Linked DNA regions of Caenorhabditis elegans. The protein of the gene in region 3 purifies or fractionates together with the protein of the main gene of each other region. This does not show direct contact. Each region holds a gene or a part of one and is shown on either strand. Other genes may lie near its edges. The genes, in order: F53F4.15, T09B4.8, msra-1 and pgm-1.

Region 1 (4,314 bases), on a different chromosome or scaffold from region 3:
CCCAAATCATTTCCCTTCATTTTTACCATTCTTCGTTGATCTTCTTTTACTTCTTCAACAATTTTGTTATTTCTTGGAATTTATTTGAATAAATATTCATCGTTGAATTCAAGTTGTTTTTCGTTTTTATTTCTTTGGTTTTTATCCATTCATAATTATGCTTTCAAAGTTTCGAGAAGAAATTAAAAAATCTCATTAATTTCGAACTTAAAAAAACGTCAACGAAACATGAATAAAACTACATAGAAATTCACTTTTTTGTTGAAAAATTATCAATTTTACCAATTTTTGTGATTTTCGGTGATTTTCTAAATTTTGAAAAATTGAGTTGAATCTTTCATTCTACCCATAAAAGAACTAATTTTTCTTGACTTCATGACTTTTATTCCAGATGAGTTTACCCTGGTATCACCTGGAACGGCCTGCTCGAATGACCTTGCTACGAGCTTATTATACTGTATGTGCACTCACATATCCTACATATGTGGCGATCAACTACAAAAGTTATATTCCAGACAGAGCACAGGTAAAATTAAATCTAATTAGTTGCAGTTAATGAAATATATTTAGGTTCTTGGCGGAAAATCACTTCGTGACGAGATTCTACATCCGGCAATCGTCAAAAACTAGATCTATCGATGTGCAATTCCTCATCATTCTCCGAATTTTTGTCAAATACGAGTATTTTTCCGCCATTATCATTGGTTTTGAGTTTTCCCCCATAGGCCCTTTTCGTTTTTTTCTTTTAGTTTTTAGTCGTTGTTTGTTATCATTTTAAATTTATTCATTCATTAAAATTATTTAATTATGGATTGATGAAATAGTTAGAATAACGATACAATCCCCAGACTGGCTTGTTGGGATTGTAGCCATAATTAGGATAATATGGAATATTATCATCATAGACAGTTGGAAGATTTTGTTGAAGAAATAGACGATCATAGAATCCTGTCCGAGCAAATGCAGACGGAGCTCCACGAAGATTTGCTTCACGATCTTCCCGTTCTTCTACTTCAAAAAGTAATATTAAATTCTACAACTTCTCCGTGAAACCTACAAATCTCGGCAGCAGTTTTATCATGTTCACATGGCCAGACTTTACGAAAATTGACTCTTTCCGGAAGGCACATTCGACCAGGTGGCATTTCAATAGAATAACCAATCAGGAGAGTGAAGCAAAGAATAGAGAGATGAAGAGAAAACATTATTGATAATCATACAATGGGAAAGAGAAATATGGAAAAGACGATTAGGTGAAAAACTTCAAGAAAACACGATTTTTTGGTGATATCTCAGTGATCTCGACAGATTGAAAAATATGGGCGAACTGGATTCGCAATGCATTTTTGTATGTAATAAAGTTAATTGAAAATTAACTTTAAAAATATAAATAGTTCAGATTTATCAGGTTTTCCAAATAACAACATAATTTTTGAATAACGATGCATTAGGTTGTAGGTTGGATTTAACTTCTACCGTTTCACTTCCAATTTCTCAGCGTAAAAGCCAATCGTTATTTACCTCTGAAAGAGAACAAGAATGAATTCTTAAAACTTGCCTATATTTTTCTCATAAAATTTTGTAATTCGTGGACATCGCCTTAACCAAATGTATTATTACGAGATCACTACTTTCTGAGAATGCGTGTTGTGCAACATATCTGACGCGCAATATATCTCGTAGCGAAAACTACAGAAAATATTTAAATTACTACTGTAGCGCGAAATATTTTGCGCAATACGCATTCTAGACATCTAAAGATAAGAATTTTCGCCACATCTTAAATACTTATGCGCACGGTCTCGCCACGCTGACAACGAGTTACTGTAATAATGCATTATAATTTTCGTTTCAAATGAAACATTGCTTCTAAAATTTTTAAATAAAAACATGATCAGTCATAAATCAGCACGAGTTACAGTAGTCAGTAGTCAGCGTGGCGAGACCCAAGCGCGTAAGATATGGCAAAAATTATCATCTTCAGACATCTATGTAATAGATTTAATATGATTAAGGCGTCGCTATTTTGATGATCTGTAAATTTTTTTTGACAATTGTCTAGAACATCAAGTTAACTTAATGTTCTAGACTATTGATATAATACGAAACGACACAGATATATCCCAGACTATGAGTAATTCAAACAGTACATATATTCTCAGGTACGCCAGACGCTTTCTACTGAATGAAGCAATTAACAGCTCTGAGAGCCATCACGAGGAAGCATAAATAGAGATATCTTACGTGCACATGATGTGTTTTCCTTCCTTTTTCGAAAAGTCGAGTGAATAGATATGATAATTGTTTACTTTTTTACGGATTACGGAAAATCTAGTTCCCAAAAAATTATTTATTTTGCAAAATTCTTAGCATTCCTTAGAACAATATAATCATTCTGTAACCATAATCTTCACAGTCATCGTTCCAGTGAAGCCTTAAAATAAAGATTTTCTTTCTATTGAAAAATTTATATTTAAGAGAGAGCTTTTACCATTTTTTTTTTCACTTTCAGAAAAACTTGAAAAATGCTGGACTCTATCACATTATTCTTCCTTTCTTTCCATACGTTTGCCGGAGTTTCTGGCTGCATTCTCAATTCAATTGTGCTCTTTTTGGCACTTTTTCGGACTCCGAAGGTTAGTTTTTCGTGAAAAATCTTTGAACTAATCATAAAATATAGATTAAAATCAAAATTTGAGAGCTTTAGTTCCCAGTTTGGTAAAAACTGTGCAAATCTCGTAATATAGGCTCAGCTTTCTACAGAACTCTGCCATTATAACTAGGTGTGGGATAGCTGGAAATGTTCTGCAGAAATTCCTCATCACATAGACAAGCAATTTCAACCTTCAAACATCAGTTTCCATTTCCAGACAATCGCCGCTTACACCACAATTCTCATAAACTTTGCATTGACCGATTTCCTCGCCTGTTTCACAGATCTTTTCATTCAAATGCGGCATATTCCGGCTGGATTTACAATGGCTTATTTGTCACGTGGACTGTGCACTTATTTTGGACCCCATGTCTGCTATTTTATGTACACCATAATACATATTCCCCGACACGCTTCATTTTCTTAATTTCAGATACAGCATAAACATTTCATTAGTAGCTCATGGTCTATGGTCATTGCTAATGGGGTTCTCATATCGATATTATATCCTGTTTCATCCGGCACCAACGAGAAAAGCTTTGATAGTAATTCTTATGTTTATATCAATTCCGTCAATTATCCAAATGGTAATAATGTGAAACAATTTAGATTTCAAGCTGATACTTTTAAGATAACATTTCTGTGGGCAGACGATGACGCAGATGAAATGAAGCGAATTGTCGTCGAACGATTTCCGGAATATCAACTTCAAAACGAAACTATTTGCGGAACAATTAATATTATTGAGTTTTCTGCAATGTTCACAATTCTACATATGACGTGCCCAATAACACCAGTCTACATAACTATTTGGATATTAAGAAAAAAGATTATTGAGAACCTTACTTCTAATTCAAAGGATATGTCATCAAAAACTAAAGAAATGCATAAGCAGCTATTGAAGGTATGGGCGTTCGGGTAATAACAAAACGATTACGGTTGATGCATGATGCTTTCTTTTATGGTTGGGGTGGAATGAGCAATGTATCATAAAACATGACAACATTCGCATCCAAGTTAGACTAAAAGAACTTTGCTTAGCAGCTGGTTAGATTTGGACAAAATTTGAGTAGAAGTATGGTGAGTAGAAGTAATAAACTTGGCAAAAAAGTTTGAACCTATGTTCTAGGTTCCTAGGATCGCCCGTAGTCCGCCTTCGTCAGTGAGCTAATTATTAAAAAACCTTACTTTTAGTTCAAAAAATTACCAGATATCATGTAGGATTTCGGTGGCAACTTATTTTTGTTGCACTTATCAAGTTGCCTCCGAGACGATTGAAATTTTTCAAACAATTGATTTCTGCATTAAAAACGTGACGAAATGCTTACGAATTACTTCAAACGCCAAAACCTTTCAGGCTCTCACATGGCAAGCCATGATCCCTGGCTTTTACGGAATGAGCATTGTATCTTACGTCATTGGGCAATTCTTTTTCAATCACCCCGTATTTGAATATCTCACGCTCACAGGATTCCTTTTTATGCCTGTTCTTTCTCCACTCTCTTGCCTGATATTTATTCAAATTTACCAGAAACGAGTTCTATCATGGTGAGCTTGAAACAATTATTAAAAAATAATTCCTATTTTCAGGTGGTACAAAATGATTGGAAATCCAATTCCAGATGAGTGGCTTACAGTGTTGAATGCGACTAGAACCAATG
Region 2 (5,734 bases), on a different chromosome or scaffold from region 3:
ACGTGGTCACTACAAATGCCATGTGAACTTTTTTATCGTAATAACTGATCTTTAAACTAATCTAGGAGCGCCTACGTTTACGAAAAACAAAATTAGCTTTTAAAAGTTTATAAAACGGAATATCTTCATAACATAAAATCTAAACTCGCTTCAAACAATTACAAGAAATTTACTAGAAAGAATAAAATTAAATCAGTAGTCAAACTTGGAATAGGACTATTCTTAAGGAAGTCAAACGCAATAAGTACCCTTTTTTTTGGGCCGGCCCATTTTTGTGTATCCTTTCACAATGACATAACGATGAATGAAGCGATGTTTTCCCTTTCATCTCCTATTTCTCTTCTCAATGAACCAGTGAACACGATTAAGTGACCAAAATGACCAGCTAACAGGTTGTTTTATTACAAAGCGATTCACGCTGAAACGAAGCTGCAAAAAAGAGTTTGCCGCCAGCAGGGGTCGAACCTGCGACCTTGGGCTTATTAGACCCACGCTCTAACCGACTGAGCTATGGCGGCCAACACATGTTCAGGAGCCCGGTGCCTACGAGACAAAATGGTTGAAAATGAAAGATGGTAGCTGAGCGCGTGATGAAAATCAGCAGGTTGACCACCTGGTTTTTGTTTTCTATTGCTATAAAGTTAGAAAAAACGAAACAAAAATGATGCAACTAGAAGTACTGTAAGTCATGAGAAAGAGGAAGAACTTTCATCAATAAAAAGCAAGGAGAAACAATTAAAAAAAAAACTGAAAATGTTCTGTTCCGCATATAGGCAAATGGTGTAATAAGGAATAGATCCTTCAGGTTTTAAAGGTTCGATAGGATGACAGCTTCTGCAAAACACCGTCTTATCTAGATTGCCGGTGTTGTGTTGCAGTGTTGCATAAAAGTTGTAAAAATCGTATCCGATATCGGTCGCAAGCTAACAAACAATAACTAGAGGCCTCTAAAAAATATCACACCCTCTATAGAGGGTGTGATATGATGCAACTTGTAGGATTCAATACTGTTTTATATTAATAACTGAGAAACATGTCGAACTTTCAATCGAACGTATACGCATTCAAACAGCAATTCAAACCATATACACACCTTATAGATTAATGCATTCAACCTACGTGCTTATTGCTGTTTTATTCGTACGCTTGAAGAGTGCATTTTATGCCGCCATAGCTCAGTCGGTTAGAGCGTGGGTCTAATAAGCCCAAGGTCGCAGGTTCGACCCCTGCTGGCGGCAAACTTTTGCCATGCTATCACTTTCACCTTTTTCCGCATTTCGATTACATCATCAGTTGTGCGGTTGGCGTCGCCTAACCATCCGATGAGATAACACCTATGTCGCATTTGCCGCGCGCCAAGGACATGCGGATCGGAACCGGTTTTAAGCTTTTCTTAATCTCAATCCACAGCAGAAGCAGCAGCCGCAGTACATGCATGTCGCTTCATTTTTTTAAACATCGTCCGTCCACCAGCACCTTGTGACGGAGAAGTGAAGCGCGTACATAATGCCATAGTATACCAATAACACATAAACGATACATGTAACTGGATGCGTTTTGGAAGAAGCAAAAGAGAAATGCGAAAAAAGAAGAATACCAAGTTGACTGACGGATTTTCGTGTTCAGATCTGAATTTGTAGCTGTACGTCTTAAAAAAGGGAGTGGTCTGAACAATACAAATTGAAGCGTTTTGGAACAATAATTTCATAGAACCCGAAAGAATTTTGAATATTTGAATTATAGTTTGAAACAACAACAAAAAACAAGAATTTGGTAATATCGAAATGAAGAAATGACGGCGCCTATGAAATTATTTGTATTGTTTAATTGATTTGGCAATGATGTCTACAGCAAAATCGACATCCTTTTTAGTAATACACATTGGTGGTTTGATACGGAGAACGTTTCCATGGATACCTCCTTTTCCGATCAGTAGGCCTTGGTTCTGTAAATTAATCTGATAGTTAGACAAGTAAAATGGCATTACACCTTAGTGTCTTCGAAGATAGCTGCTGTTTTGGCTGCGGCAAGTGGTTTCCCTTGCTCATCGATAAGTTCCACTCCGATCATTAACCCCTAAAAATCATCAAATTGTATATTAAAATCTTTTTAGAGAGTTTTCTCACTTTTCCTCTAACATCTCCAATTGTCGCATCATCAATTGCTGCAAGTTGTTTCAAGAAGTAATCTCCAACAACAGCGCTGTTTTCCTGAAGCTTCTCCTCTTCAATCACTTCCAATACAGCTTTTCCAACAACGGAAGCTAATGGATTTCCACCATATGTATTGAAGTATAGAGATTTGTTGAAAGAGTCGGCAATTTCTTTACTAGTGACAACAGCTCCCAATGGGAATCCGTTTCCGATTCCTTTTGCCATAGTTACCATGTCTGGCAAGGCATCTTGTGCTGAAAATTCAAAATATTGATTTCTTAGTTTTAGTATTATTTATTTTAAAAACTCACATTCGAATCCCCAAAAATGAGAGCCGAGGCGTCCGAAACCGGTTTGTACTTCGTCAGCAATAGCGAGTCCTCCCCGTTTTTGTACAGATTCGTAAGACTTTTTGAGATATCTGGAAAAATCAAATACACATTTTTCACTTTTCTTTTGAGATTTTACCCATGTGGATACTGAACAGTTCCTCCAACTCCTTGAATAGATTCAATCAAGAAGGCAGCTGGTCCGGATGAATGAGAGAAATCGTGAAGAAGCATATCATCGAACTGTTCAATGTACTTATCAGAAGCTTGACAGGATCCAGGCTTGCAATCGCATTTTCTGTTCTTTACTTGAATTGGAGAGTCACGACAATTGCTTCCTCCAAAGATTCCACGATATGGATCAGCATTCAATGACTTAAAAATGTTGAATCCATGTGGAAAAACTGGTTTCCAGTTTCCCAAATTAGTTGCTCCAAGAACAGTTTGGGTCATTCCATGATATCCATTTCTCATCGAGATAACATCAAATCGTCCTGTGTAGTTACGAGCAAGAGCTAAAGCCAGGTCATTTGCTTCCGATCCAGAGTTCACAAAGAAGACTGACTGAAAATTTGGATGTGAAGAAACGACTAGATATTTAGTAATTCACTATAGGAAGGCCTAACAGTTTCAAGTCTGCAAACTGTAGGGTTTGATAAAAGGGTAAAAAATAAAAACTAACATTCAATTTGCTTGGGAACTTTGAGAGCAACTTCTCAGCATACTCATAAATTGGTTCAGTGTGATAAATGGACGTGGTATGCCAAAGCTTCTGTGCTTGCTCGGTAAGAGCTGCGTTGATTTTTCTGAAAGCATAAAATTCTCATAAGCTTACAAAAAGAATACTCACGGATGACAATGTCCAACTGAGACTGTGACAATTCCACCAAAGAAATCGAGATATTTCTTTCCATTCGAATCAAAAAGGAATTGTTTTTCACCTTTCGTAATCAAGAGTTGATCCTTGTAATAGGTCACATGTCCCTTTGGAAGTAATGGACGAAGTGCCTGCACTCGTTGCATGGTTTAAGCTGAAATTTTTTCAATATTTGATGAATCGATTAAAGGGATCCAAAAAATAATGACTTGTGGAAAATTTTGAAAAGTTCACGGAAAAATCTACTTTCGTGTGGAATACAAGTTAAATACAGGAAATCATTAGAACTTATAGGCATTTAAGAAACACAATTGCACACAAAATAACTGGAGGGTGTGTCAAATGTTTCAAGGTCAAGTTGGATATATTACACAACACACACACACAAAAATGCACCAAAAAGACAACTGTCTATGACTGTCTGCGTATCTTCCATTCAAATACTTTTTCATTTGGCTCTGAGACAGTTGTCGTTGGGAAAATTAGAGAGAGTGACCAATAAATGTGTGGAGAAGAGAAAAAGAGCAACGTGTTTGAGGACAGAAGTGCAAAAGAACAACAAGTTAAAAAATTAAAGAAAGAAAAATGTCATTATTAGAACGGTTCTTTGTGAAAAACTGCCTGCAAAAAGAAAAAATGAAAGAAAGAATTTTCATAGAACAACTGAAAGATATCAAGAGATGATAATTGATAACTGTTGCACGTATCAATTGATAAAAATGAATAGGACATTCAATTCTGATTATTGACCCTTTTAATAATATTCTTGATTTGACTTTATGTGGTGGATCCGAAGAAATACTTTCAATACTTTCTCGTGGGGCTTAGTTCAGGCTTGGGCATAGGCGTAGGCTTAGGCTTAGGCAGGCCGGGAGGAGGAAGAGAGCACATGAAATTCCAGAAAATTGAATAGAAGAAAAAGAATAGAAGAAAAAAAAAAAGAAAAAATGCACAAAACCCATGATAAATGGAATTAATAAGAGAAAAAATTGCACAATCTTGAATTGTATTTTTCTTCCCCTCAAGTTTTGATTTTGCGGTATTTATTAAAAGTTTGGAGTATTCCGAGTATTATTTATAAAACCAACTTAACTGTTGAATCCATAAAGTTTATTTTCCGTGTGACTTTTTATTTATAAGCAGTACCCGCAGTGTATTATATTCTGTAAAATTGCCGAGTTGCCGAAAATCTAAGTCTTCTTTCCTTCTCGCATCAAAACTTTCTCTTTTCAATCGCAACCGTTCTCGTGCGACTTTCTTTTTCTCTTCTTCTTCACAATTTCTTTGCTATTTCTTCTTCTCTATGTAAAAGATGCAGATAACCCAAATTTGCGTATTGTTATCAATACCAGTGTTGCATACAACATCAATTTTCTCATTTATTGATTTTTGTTTTGGTCCAAGTTGAGGATAATTTTTCGTTGAGAAAAAAGCTTGTATTCCTGCCAAATCTCTCGTTTTTTCTTGTTTTCCGCCTTTGTTTTGACCCGTCAAACACCGTTCCGCGATTCGCTTTTTATTTACCTACGCTCTCTCGTTTTCTCACACAGTTCTTTTCACAGAATTTCAATTCACATTTTGCTGCTCGGGTTTGGCTATTTTATATATTAACATTTTAAAACAAAGAAGAAATGACTGAATTTTTCTCGCAGAAGCAGATTGATGGTAAGTGAAACAACACTATAATTCCAAGATTTGACTCCGAAATCTTTACTTTATTGTTTCTCATCAGAAATTCGTGAATGCTTCAACTTTTATTCAACCAGTGGAGTACTAAGAACAGATTCTCAACTTCGATGTGCTCTCCGAAGTCTTGGATATTCTCCAACTGCTTCCAAAACTGATATTTATTTCAAGAAGCTTAATAGTATGAGTTTTAGAACATTACACTTCTGAATGATTGCTATTTATTTCAGAAAAACCAATCGAATTTGCAACATTTTTGGACATTTGCAAAGATGAACAAAATAGTCCGAATCCACTGACGGAGATTATCAAAGCGTTAAGTGGATTGGATAGGTTAGTTGATGTGCTTTACAAAATAAATACGAAATTTTCAGAAATAAAACTCGCGCAATGCCATCTCGTGAGCTTGCCGCAATACTTTCACACGTTGGGGAGCAAATGAGTCCAGAGGAGATTAAATATCTTTTATCAAAAGTTGAGGTCAACGGAATGGTTCCTCATCAAGCACTTATTGAGTATATTTCCAAATGAAATTTACTTTGAGCAAATAAAAATAAATTGTTTTTATCTGGGAGCTGTCTAGTGAGTTATTGGATTAAGAACGGCTGCAATATATTTGGAAATAATTATTAAAAAATTATAATTTTCGTCAGGGCAGTCACAAACATGTCAGAACAAAACACGAAAAG
Region 3 (4,649 bases):
TCTTCTCAGAAAGTCTATAGAATCAGTACTTTTGGTGTTTGTGAGGGTAAGTTACTTTTAGTTTAACTATTCAATTCATTCAAATATTTAATTTCAGATAATATCCAAGAATCTATGTGAAAGTAATGGAAAAGATCGTCTGACACCTATTTGTTTAGAGCATCTTATTCATATTTGTTTATTTGGAGATGAACTTTGTATTGAAGCAATTCAAAAAGGATGCATCTCATCAGTTATTCGAATTATGAAGAATGATCAACCACAGGAGAACACTCTTAGATTTTTACTTCGAACATTGGCAGTGTTATGTGGAGTTTCAAAAGGAGCACTTGCTTTGCTCACGGTAATTAGATATATTTTATAATCAATACTTTTCAATACAAATTCAATACAAATTCAATCAATACAAATTGATTAATTTCAGCAAGGAGGCTTGGATTTGGTTATTGATAGACTTTTATCCATTTCCTCATCAATCTGTTCCGTCGAGGCAGCTGGTATTCTGACACAACTTACCAATCCTCAGTCTGCATTCATTCGGTTAAATCATGTGGAACCAATTATATCCAGACTTTTGGGTAACCAATTTAAATATAAAAATTGGAGACTAAATAATTAATTTCAGATCTAATAGATCAATGTAAATCAGGTGACTCTTTGCTTTTGGCAACCGCTGCATTGAACAATGTGACACTTCAGAACCCAAATGGAGTTGATATTATGTACAGGTTTGTTGAATTTTAAGCATTTAACTATTTTCGCAAAAGCTCAGTACAAAATTAAATTTGAACCAACATTAAATTGAGCTATAGCACGTAATTGTAGAAAATGAATGCAAAATTTCAAGGCGAATTCCTTGTTCTAACTTTTGTAGCAATTGCTACAAGTTACCTAGAAACTACAAAACGGTAAACCAGCCTACCAGATAAAACTGAAAACAGTCTCGAATTTAAAAAAAAATCTGAAAATTTATAGGATCGCTCTCTATTTTGGGATTTTGAAAAGTTTTTTGCAACATGTAAATGTAAATATTTTCAGAAATAATTCAATTCGTCGTCTGATATCTGCTTATAATCGAGAAAATTGTGCCACTGTCTTCGTCCAGGAACAAATTGTTACAGCCTTTTCTCGCCTTGCCGCCCGTCATTTAGATCATCAAATGGTTGATCAAAATGCAATTCCAGTGCTTCTTGAATTTTTATCCCTTACCCATCCAATCCATGCGGATTACTGTAGAAGGATACGGTACAAAGCTGCTGTATGTATTGGTACTTTAGCTAACAGTGAAATTGGGCTCAAAGCCTTGTATGGTAATAATGGTGAGATTTTCAGAATTATTCAACGTTTCATATATGTTCAAGTTACAGCCTACGCAATTTTGAGCAATGTGCTTTATGATGACAACAACTCTTCAAATCCATTTAATATGATATGCAACAATATTCGCACAAAGTTGGAATCTAAATACCAATCTGAAAGTGCAGTATAATATTCAAATATCTTCCTTTGTTAAACAAACAAACACAAGAATCTGTGATAAAATAAAATTCATTGAAAACCTGATAAAAGTTCGATTGTACATTCATATAATTTAAGCATGACAGTTTCTTGGATCTCCTCCTGACAGAGCATAGTCCTTCACCTTATTGACAAAAGAATCCTTTAATCCGTACTCTTTTGCAAGACGCTCAAGATCGTGGAAGTCCTGGAAGCCAGCACAATATGCGTTCAATTTTGTGGCAAGTTCTCCTTCAGCAACTTGAGTATCAAGAAGAGACAGTTCATCGAAAAGAATCTTCTTTTGACGGAACCAATATTTTTGATGGTAATCTTCAGCTTGATAGAACTTGTCCAATGGCTCAATATATGTTTCAATGTCTCCATGCTTGTCCTTTGCTACTTTCAAAGTTTCTTCAGCGACTTTCTTTTGGTCGTCATTTACGTAGAGAATCGCAGATTGGTATTGCTGAAATTGAAACGAATTAATTTGAAGTTTAAATGTATTTTAACCTAAAAAATTATAATCAATTAGAACTTACTTTTTGTTACGTTTTCCAGTAGAACAATATTTGAAACTTTAAAGTCAATTCGAAAATTACCTTCTTTCTCCTTTCAGCTGGGTTGTGATGCTTCCAAAAGAAGTTGGTGAGCTTTGAGTATTCAATAACTTTTGGATCAAAAGTGATCTCTGTGATTTCAGTATGATCCTTGATATTCTTATAAGTAGGATTTGGTTGTTTTCCTCCAGCATATCCAACTCGTGTCACCACAACTCCTTTCAGCTTCGCCCATGCAGATTCTCCCCAGAAGCACTGAAGACCAAAATAGGCACGCTCCAAATAAGCCATGTTTCACCTGAAATTATATCGGATTGAAAAAGGTTTTGAGTTTATAAAGGAATTAAAAAATTAGTAAACAATGTAAAAACGTATGTTTCACAGTCAATTTATATACAAATCGGGGCGGAATCAAAATGTGATTCCTGTAAATTTTGCGATTACATCAGAAAGAGGAAAGAGACGCAGAGGGAATCGATGAAGAAGACAAGTAGAAAAGAAAACATACAATGTTAGACGCAGGCATATAGACACGACATGCTTTATCATCATTCTGCCAGCAGTGGTAGACGAAGAAAAAGCAGATGGCCAGTCAGAAATGATGACATAGATCGCTTTTTGGTAAAGATGTTTCTTTTGATGATATTGAGTACACGTTGGGTTCAATGGACAATAACTGAGCTTTTCCATGAACTTTCTTTTGATCAAAATAGTTTCTAATTTTAGGCCCTGTATTTTTCGTTAGAAATTGCAAAATGTTCAATGTACAAATGAATAAGTTATACCTAGTTGACGGAGCTCTTTCACTTGTGAGAACATTGAACTTTTCCTCGTCTTACAACAATCGTTTTTTTTTGTTTATTCGATTAGCTAAAAAACAATTAATCAAAAAACTATGAAAAATAAATGAAATTTCCGAAAGTTTGAACCTACAGTACTCATTAAAGGCGCACGCCTGTTCGTATTGTACAAAAATCTGTCGTGTCAAGACCGGGGTTGGCTCAAAAACCCTAAAACCTCGTGTCTGGTTAATAAAGGATATTTCCAGAAAAAAAGTGAAATGGAAACCTAAGTTATTTCTGAACTATTAAAATATAGTGTGCTCTTGGATCTTGATAATTTACTATGACTTCAGCAGCTTTATCTAATTCCATGTCTTCTTGTTTTCGCAATGTATTTTGTATTTCACGGATGGAACGTTGACGAAGATAATCTAGATTCGCTAGTTCAGCAGTTATATCATCAAGAACTTGCATTGCTGCAGCAAATGTTCAATGCACAAATGAATAAGTTATACCTATTTGACGGAATTCGTTCACTTGTGAGGATGGTAGTGGGGGTGGAGTAAGACTGGCTCAGTCTGAACGTTTTGACCTACTTGCAAGTTAGTTTTGAAGCTCAAAAATAATGTTGTTTTTACAGACAGTCATTTGGACTACAAATCCACTGTGACACCTGCTCAGACAAACGCTTAGTCGTCTAATTAGATTTCAACCGTATTCAACGAGATTTCAACCATATTTGTTTAGAAAATCCATATTGCATTATATTTGCTCCATATTAGATTAGAAATCCATGCTAGATTAGATTTCCTCCATATTTCATTAGAAAACAAATCTAATCCAATATGGTCGAAATCTAATTAGACTACTAAGCGTTTTTCTGAGTGTGCCCACAGTACATCACTATTGTTTTATTGAACCGTTGTAGAAGTATACTATAATTTTCTACAATTCAATAGTTAGGCAATACAACATTCTAAATTCTCATTAAAATAATACTTGCCAGCAAAAGTTGCAAGCCCAGGCTCGGTTTACCAAATAACTTCTTGAACTCACGAAATTGCGTATCTTCAAACTGGCGTATCTTGAAAAATAAACATCCAGGAAACAAATGTTCAACTAACAAAATGATTAGAAATATTTTTTATTTTTTCTGCATTACTTTTCAGTGCAAAATACCAATTATTTGTTACACAGAGTCATTTTACCAAAAACCACTAAAAATTTTGTCGATTGAGTTTCAGAAGTAAAATGTTAATGAATAATAATTGCAAGATATAAACTGATAAAATGTGGAAAAATATCTTGCAATTATTATTTATTAATGGGGTTATTCAAGTAATGTAGCAAAATGTATTTAAATACATTTGTGACGTCACTAATGTATTTAAATACATGTTTTTATATACTTGAATACAGTTGTGACGTAATTAATCTACACTTTTTAATTTTCCGACACTACTTGAATAACCCCATAAGTTTTGTTATCTAAAATTCAATGGATGTTGAATTATGAATGGTAGAGCAGAACAGTTCTCAAAAATTTCGATGGGTATTGGGAAAATTTATTTGAATCAGTGTAACTCAACAAATAACTGGTATCTTGCAATGAAACTAAATGCAAAAAAAAGAAAAAATATTTTTAAACATTTTTTTAGTTGAACATTTGCTTCATAGACGTGGATTTTTCAAGATACGCCAGTTTGAAGATACGCTACAAATGCCTAGTTAGGCTTGTTCGAAAGCTAGAAAAATTCTCTACACAATGGCAGGTTTAACTTCAGAAATTTATTAGTAGATACTGAAAATT
Region 4 (6,095 bases), 2.5 Mb from region 3:
ATTTTTCGATATTCTTTTGAAGATTTGAATAAAAGTTTCACGAATTTTCAAAAGTTCATTCAACTTTTCGAACATTATGTGACGTAAAGATCTAGGACAGTGATAAGGATTTGCATAAATAGAGAAGGTTTTGTCATAATCTTCACTGTGAGTTTTCTCACTCTACAAAGAAGTCGCCATGGCCCAATCCGTCCCACCAGGAGATATCCAGACCCAGCCGGGTACGAAGATCGTGTTCAATGCCCCGTACGACGACAAGCACACCTACCACATCAAGGTGATCAACTCATCTGCTCGCCGTATTGGATACGGTATCAAGACCACCAATATGAAGAGACTTGGAGTTGATCCACCATGTGGAGTTCTGGACCCAAAGGAAGCTGTTTTTCTGGCAGTTTCCTGCGATGCCTTCGCCTTTGGACAGGAGGACACTAACAACGATCGTATCACTGTTGAGTGGACCAACACTCCGGATGGTGCTGCTAAGCAATTCCGTCGGGAATGGTTCCAAGGAGACGGTATGGTTCGTCGTAAGAACCTCCCAATCGAGTACAACCCATAGGATTTGTGAACTTTCCAAAACTTCAATAAACTTTCATTGATAGCTCGTTTTTTGTTTTTTTTTACTTGAACATATTTTCAGAGATTTTCAAACGAGATAATATTGTCATGCTCGAAAAAAGAGCTTCCTTTCCACTCCTCGTTTGAGCATTTTCCTCTAGATCAGCTGGCTCGACACTACAATGTTTCTTCGATCATCTCTTTAAAAAAACCGAACTTTAATATTTCTGCAGGTTCTGCCAAAATGATTCCAAAAGAAGCCTGGAATTTTTGATTTTTTTTTTGCATTGCAAAGTTTTTTAAATTTCTGCAGTATCTGCCAAAATCCCCAATAATAAATATATATTTGAATTGTTATATTTTCGATTTTTTTCAGTAGAAAATCGAATTGAATTTATTTAATAATGTGGAAAAATCGAATAAAATTGTAAAATGGGTTACTGTACTGCTTAAAGGCACACCTTAATCTTTATGTGAGGATATTTTGTTCGTGGCGGGATACCACTTAAAAACTGAAGCATTTCGCTACATTGTAATTAATCAACTTTTTAAACTGAGGATTTCATTCTAAAATGCAACTTTTGAACTTACTATTTTTAATTTCTGCCCACTGCTCTTTAGAAATACGCTCATCAATAAATTCTTGGCCGGCAAAAGCGAAAACTTGACGAGCGATTTCTCCATTTCCACGAGATTGAAAATAAATTAGTTTATAGGAAACCATTTTTCAGAATAAAATGAAGAATTCGTCACAATCTGGCGCTTTTGAACCCTTCGCTCTCAGTGTCTGCGTTTCTCATTTCTCACTAAATCGACATCAGAAAACCACAAACATCAACTTTTTTTTCCAAAAACCAACATTGATGTATTTCACAATATTCTCATAAGTTTTCAAATTTTCATTCAACTTTTCGTTTACGTGCAACATAAAATTATATAAACCGAGGAAAATCTACACATAATTATTTAGCTAAACTCATGCAATATATAAATCATTTTTAAATACTAAAATTATGTGATAACAGTTGGAGCCTTGCGATTAGTGAACTGCTCCATTTTGCAAGTATCAAGTGCAATCAACACCAATGGTTTGAGCAATTCGTGAGCTGGAAGTAGAAGGCGAGAAGTGTCATTTGAAGGAATGTACGAATCAACGTAGAGACGGATGGTAGCACCGGCAGATCCTGTTCCAGAGAGTCGGAATACCAATCGAGATCCATCTTCGAAGACAATTCGGAGTCCTTGTTTGGTTGCAACTGAACCATCCACTGGATCAGTATATTGGAAATTGTCAGCGACAGCAACCTGGAAATAGTATTTTTTAGAAAAAATAAATCTTTTCGAACTTTCTCTCACCTTATATGTAACCCCATTTGCCGAGAAATCTCTTCCAACAAATGCTGGCAATTGAGCTTCAAGGAAAGTCATCAACAAGTTGGCACCAGCTGCATCCACATTCTCATAGTCGTAACGAGTGAACACATTTCTTCCATATTTCTGCCAATGCTTCGTCACAATTTCCTCGACGGATTCTTTTCGGTCTGCGAGAATTTGAAGCCATGCAAGAAGTGCCCAAACGCCATCCTTCTCACGAATGTGATCAGATCCAGTTCCGAATGATTCTTCTCCACAAATAGCAATTCTTCCAGCATCCATAAGATTTCCAAAGTACTTCCAACCGGTCGGTGTCTCATACACTTGAAGTCCCTTTGCCTTGGCAACCAAATCAACAGCTCCAGCAGTTGGCATTGAACGAGCAAAACCAGCAACCTTACGAGTCTTGAAATATGGAATATAATCAATGTTATCAGCAATAACAGCTAAAGAATCACTGGGGCAAACGAAGAAGCCATTCTTTCCAAGAATCATATTACGATCACCATCTCCATCAAATGCAGCTCCTAAATCGTGTTCTCCGGTGTGGAGGCGTTCAACAAGAGTTTTTGCGTAGGTGAGATTTGGATCTGGATGACCTCCACCGAAATCTGGCTTTGGAACAGTTCTCAAAAGATCAGAAGGATCAGCTCCAAGATGATCGACAAGAATTGTAGAGATGTATGGTCCAGTTGCTCCGTGCATCGAATCAAGTAAAACTCTGAGTTTGCGTCCAGTAAGTTCACCAGCGAGAAGGGATTTGATTTTTGGGAAATCAAAGATTTTCTGCATGAGGTTGATGTATTCGGTAACTGAATCAATGACGTCAACGACAAAGTGACCAACTCCCTCAATATCATATTCATATCTGAAAATTAATGTACATCAATGTAATCAAAATATTGATGTGTTTACCTTCCAACTTGTGTAAAATCGCATTCTAAATCCTTGGCAATCAAGTATTTATCGATTTTAGTTGTGATCTGATAAATGGCATCAGTGACTTGATCTGGAGCAGGTCCACCATTTTCGCAGTTGAATTTGATTCCAAAATCTCCCTTTGGACCTCCTGGATTGTGACTAGCAGTGAGAATTATTCCTCCATCAACAACACGACCTTCGTGTCCTTTTCTGATAAGATTCGAGAGAGCTGGCGTCGACAAGAAACCGTTTTGACCGACGATAAGACGGGAAAGCTGAAAAACTCAAATTTATAAAAAAATTACTAAAATTTCTCAATATTTCTTACCCCATTGGCTGCTGCAATTTTAATAATCACATTTGTGGCTTCCATCGAAAGAAACCGTCCATCTCCACCAACAACCAACTGAGAACCCTTCTTTTTCGATCCAAGACCAGCATCCAAAATTGCTTGAACAAAGTTTTCCGTGTAATTCTGCTGCTGGAATTCCGGAACCCGTTTGCGAAGACCAGATGTTCCGGGTTTCTGTCCTGCGAATGGTTTTGTGGGGGTTTCAACGACGGCGATTCCCATTTTAGGCTGAAAATAAATATTATAGATCAGAAAATAAAATGGACTGACTATGAGAAAAGAGAAAATAGTAAACAGAAAATGATCGCTTCGTATCTTATCACGAAAGTCAAGTGGTTGGTCAATGTTCAGTGATAGTAAACATAGAAAAATGAATAACTTTAGAAATGGGCCGACCTAAAATGTGCTCGAACTCTTCTGGGATAACTTTTGACCTCAAATGCAACTTTTAAATGGGGTTTTTAAAGTCCAGGTAGACAGACATGTTAAGAACACGAAGAATTTATTTATCTTCTGGTGGGTGGGCAGGAATAGTTCAGATTTCGCAGCGAAAAAAGAAAAGAAATGCCAGCTGCAGTTGTTGGCGCCAAAGGAGAGCACCCACACAAACAGAGAGTTCAGAGAAATAGAGAGCAACAAAATACGTGTAGAAATGGAACAACTGCTGCTGTTCATCAAAAAAGATAAAGAAAAATGAAAAGAAATCAATGAGCGAAAAAAAATTTATCTTCTTTATACTCTCTTTCGAAAATTCGAGACGCCCCCTATTGCTTATCAAGGTTTTCATCGCTACAAACTATTGAATATATTGTGTCGAACACAAAAACAACGAAATTTCGGGAAAAAGAACGATACAAATGGTGAATACCGCGCGCGCATTTCGAGTAATTTGTTTTTTTCAAACAAAATTTCAATAATGGTATGCGGTAATTAAAATCGCTGCGATACTGACAAACACTTTTTTCCTTCTGTGCCTTTAAACCGACCGTAATTAATAAAAAACTTTTTTTTGATAGTAACCGAATGAAATTTGGAGAAAATATTGATAAGTATTTAAGAAAAACTCAACTTTTTATTGAAACAAAATGACTCGCTTTTTGTTTTTTAAACGAATTCCGATTGTAGGTTAAGGTAGTTAAAATCGTTGCGGAGCACACGAAAACTTATTCATGCTGCGCCTTTAATTCTACCGTGGTTAATGTTTCACTTTAATGAAATTTTTCAAAAAACCAAAAACAGTTTTTTACCCAAAAATTATATGAATAAAAGAATCTAAATTATTTATAAAAACAAAGTGACGCTCTCACTAAAAATAAAACAACGGACTTTGTGCTGTTTTTGTTTTGTGCTGGAAGAATCACTGAAGAATAAAACATGTTTAAAAAACACAAATGTTTCTAATGTAACATTTTATAACAAAACTTCAAAGTAATATTTCCAAAAATCATATGAATCATCGCCAAGATGTTTGAAATTGATCGAAATATGATTTTGTAACGTCTTCAAATACAGTAATCGGGTTCACCTGACGGTCATCGCGTCTCTTATTCAAACAATGGATTTTCCCCTGAAAATATATAATGAAAATCTGAAAAATTGATAAAAACCTACAGAAAATGGCATATCTCTAGTTTTCCGTAAATGTAAAACGCAAACGGAAGGAATTAGAATTGCACCAAGTGCCAAATTAATATCAAAAAGTGAAATCATAACTTGACCCGAATATGTTTTTGAACCCAGATATACTCTAGGAACTACAATAAATATAATAACAAAAAATATGAGAAAAACCAACATGGAGCTCATAACTTGCAGATATTTAATAATTTTCACATTTTCTTCAACTTGAAACTTCTTGCTCAATGTATAATTTACATTTTTCATTTTCCGAAGATTCTCAGCTTTCCATGATAATCTCTTGGATTCTTGTACATTATAATAGTAAAGGCACATTAAAACCTAAAAAATGAAGAAATTATTTTGAAAAATGGGCATTGTGCTTCTTACAATGTTTGAGAAAACTGCCCATAGTGATGCGAATAGAATAATATACAACAAAGAAGCTTCAACTGAAAATAACTATTTTTGATGTTAAGAATGTGAATTGTGAAAAGAGTATATGCCTGCCAGTGCCTATACCTACCCCTTTTTTGTTTTTAAAATTAGGTTATTTTGCTGCTTTTTTGAAAATAGAAAATCCCAAAAAACCCCTTTTGGAAAGTTGTGTGTTCTGCAAATTTTCTTGTGTTTTTTTCCAAGTTTTTCCAAGGACGCAGGCAGGCACGTAGGCACAAAAACTGTAAGAGAATAAAACTTACAGAAACAAATGGGAATCACAAAACATTGAGTATAGGTTAGGCTGACCAAAGCACAAAATGCAGCAACCCAACATCTGTGCTTCGTTTCATAATCGACCACATAATAAGTTGCAAATGCTCGTTCAATAGTTACTACTAAAATTGCACTTAAACTAACTCCATAATGTTCCATTCTCAATATTCCCGCTACGAGGAGATACGGCGTGTCGAGATCTGAAAAATATTGAGCTACCGAGTCATATAAGTTTAAAATTTGAAAAAAAAACATATATGGCGTTGGACAATTTTTACCATTTAAAAATTACTGGAACGACTGAATTTCTGATTGAATTTTAAATTTGCGTGCAAAGAAAATCTGAAAAATCTACAATTTCAGTCACATTTACAATCCCCACAAGTATACACATATTTTTTCAACTTTTGATTTTATTATTTTGTGAAAATGTTACCCAACTTCCACCAGCTCATTCATTTGGAACATGTTATGGCAGCTCCATACAACATGACTTGAAGAATGTTCAACATACATCGCTAACACCAATGATATGAGTCGTGTTTTCAAAATTCCA

What was found.
Region 1: the proteins of msra-1 (region 3) and F53F4.15 fractionate together in Caenorhabditis elegans (co-fractionation; one large-scale study listed by BioGRID). This does not show direct contact.
Region 2: the proteins of msra-1 (region 3) and T09B4.8 fractionate together in Caenorhabditis elegans (co-fractionation; one large-scale study listed by BioGRID). This does not show direct contact.
Region 4: the proteins of msra-1 (region 3) and pgm-1 fractionate together in Caenorhabditis elegans (co-fractionation; one large-scale study listed by BioGRID). This does not show direct contact.

The regions. Positions count from the first base shown.
Region 1 is NC_003283.11:13,617,898-13,622,211, reverse strand, and holds F53F4.15 (Neuropeptide-Like Protein), read right to left. Parts: upstream 1,237-4,314; 5' UTR 1,206-1,236; coding exon 1,058-1,205; intron 1,012-1,057; coding exon 806-1,011; 3' UTR 736-805; downstream 1-735. Other genes in the region: F53F4.16 (uncharacterized protein), read left to right, coding at 392-526, 571-630; srd-11 (G-protein coupled receptors family 1 profile domain-containing protein), read left to right, coding at 2,526-2,636, 2,871-3,037, 3,087-3,240, 3,285-3,557, 4,011-4,201, 4,244-4,314.
Region 2 is NC_003279.8:6,163,027-6,168,760, forward strand, and holds T09B4.8 (Alanine--glyoxylate aminotransferase 2, mitochondrial), read right to left. Parts: upstream 3,514-5,734; 5' UTR 3,506-3,513; coding exon 3,333-3,505; intron 3,289-3,332; coding exon 3,165-3,288; intron 3,047-3,164; coding exon 2,622-3,046; intron 2,575-2,621; coding exon 2,465-2,574; intron 2,408-2,464; coding exon 2,127-2,407; intron 2,077-2,126; coding exon 1,990-2,076; intron 1,946-1,989; coding exon 1,811-1,945; 3' UTR 1,693-1,810; downstream 1-1,692. Other genes in the region: T09B4.4 (EF-hand domain-containing protein), read left to right, coding at 4,991-5,024, 5,092-5,226, 5,276-5,378, 5,420-5,576.
Region 3 is NC_003280.10:7,361,686-7,366,334, forward strand, and holds msra-1 (peptide-methionine (S)-S-oxide reductase), read right to left. Parts: upstream 2,356-4,649; 5' UTR 2,349-2,355; coding exon 2,100-2,348; intron 1,967-2,099; coding exon 1,592-1,966; 3' UTR 1,535-1,591; downstream 1-1,534. Other genes in the region: insc-1 (Protein inscuteable homologue C-terminal domain-containing protein), read left to right, coding at 1-46, 98-343, 425-578, 626-728, 1,039-1,319, 1,368-1,489.
Region 4 is NC_003280.10:4,886,778-4,892,872, reverse strand, and holds pgm-1 (phosphoglucomutase (alpha-D-glucose-1,6-bisphosphate-dependent)), read right to left. Parts: upstream 3,437-6,095; 5' UTR 3,431-3,436; coding exon 3,185-3,430; intron 3,132-3,184; coding exon 2,851-3,131; intron 2,804-2,850; coding exon 1,918-2,803; intron 1,867-1,917; coding exon 1,573-1,866; 3' UTR 1,446-1,572; downstream 1-1,445. Other genes in the region: msp-33 (Major sperm protein 33), read left to right, coding at 179-562; gst-9 (putative glutathione S-transferase 9), read right to left, coding at 1,153-1,285; R05F9.7 (Serpentine Receptor, class E (Epsilon)), read right to left, coding at 4,662-4,775, 4,820-5,167, 5,216-5,277, 5,527-5,739.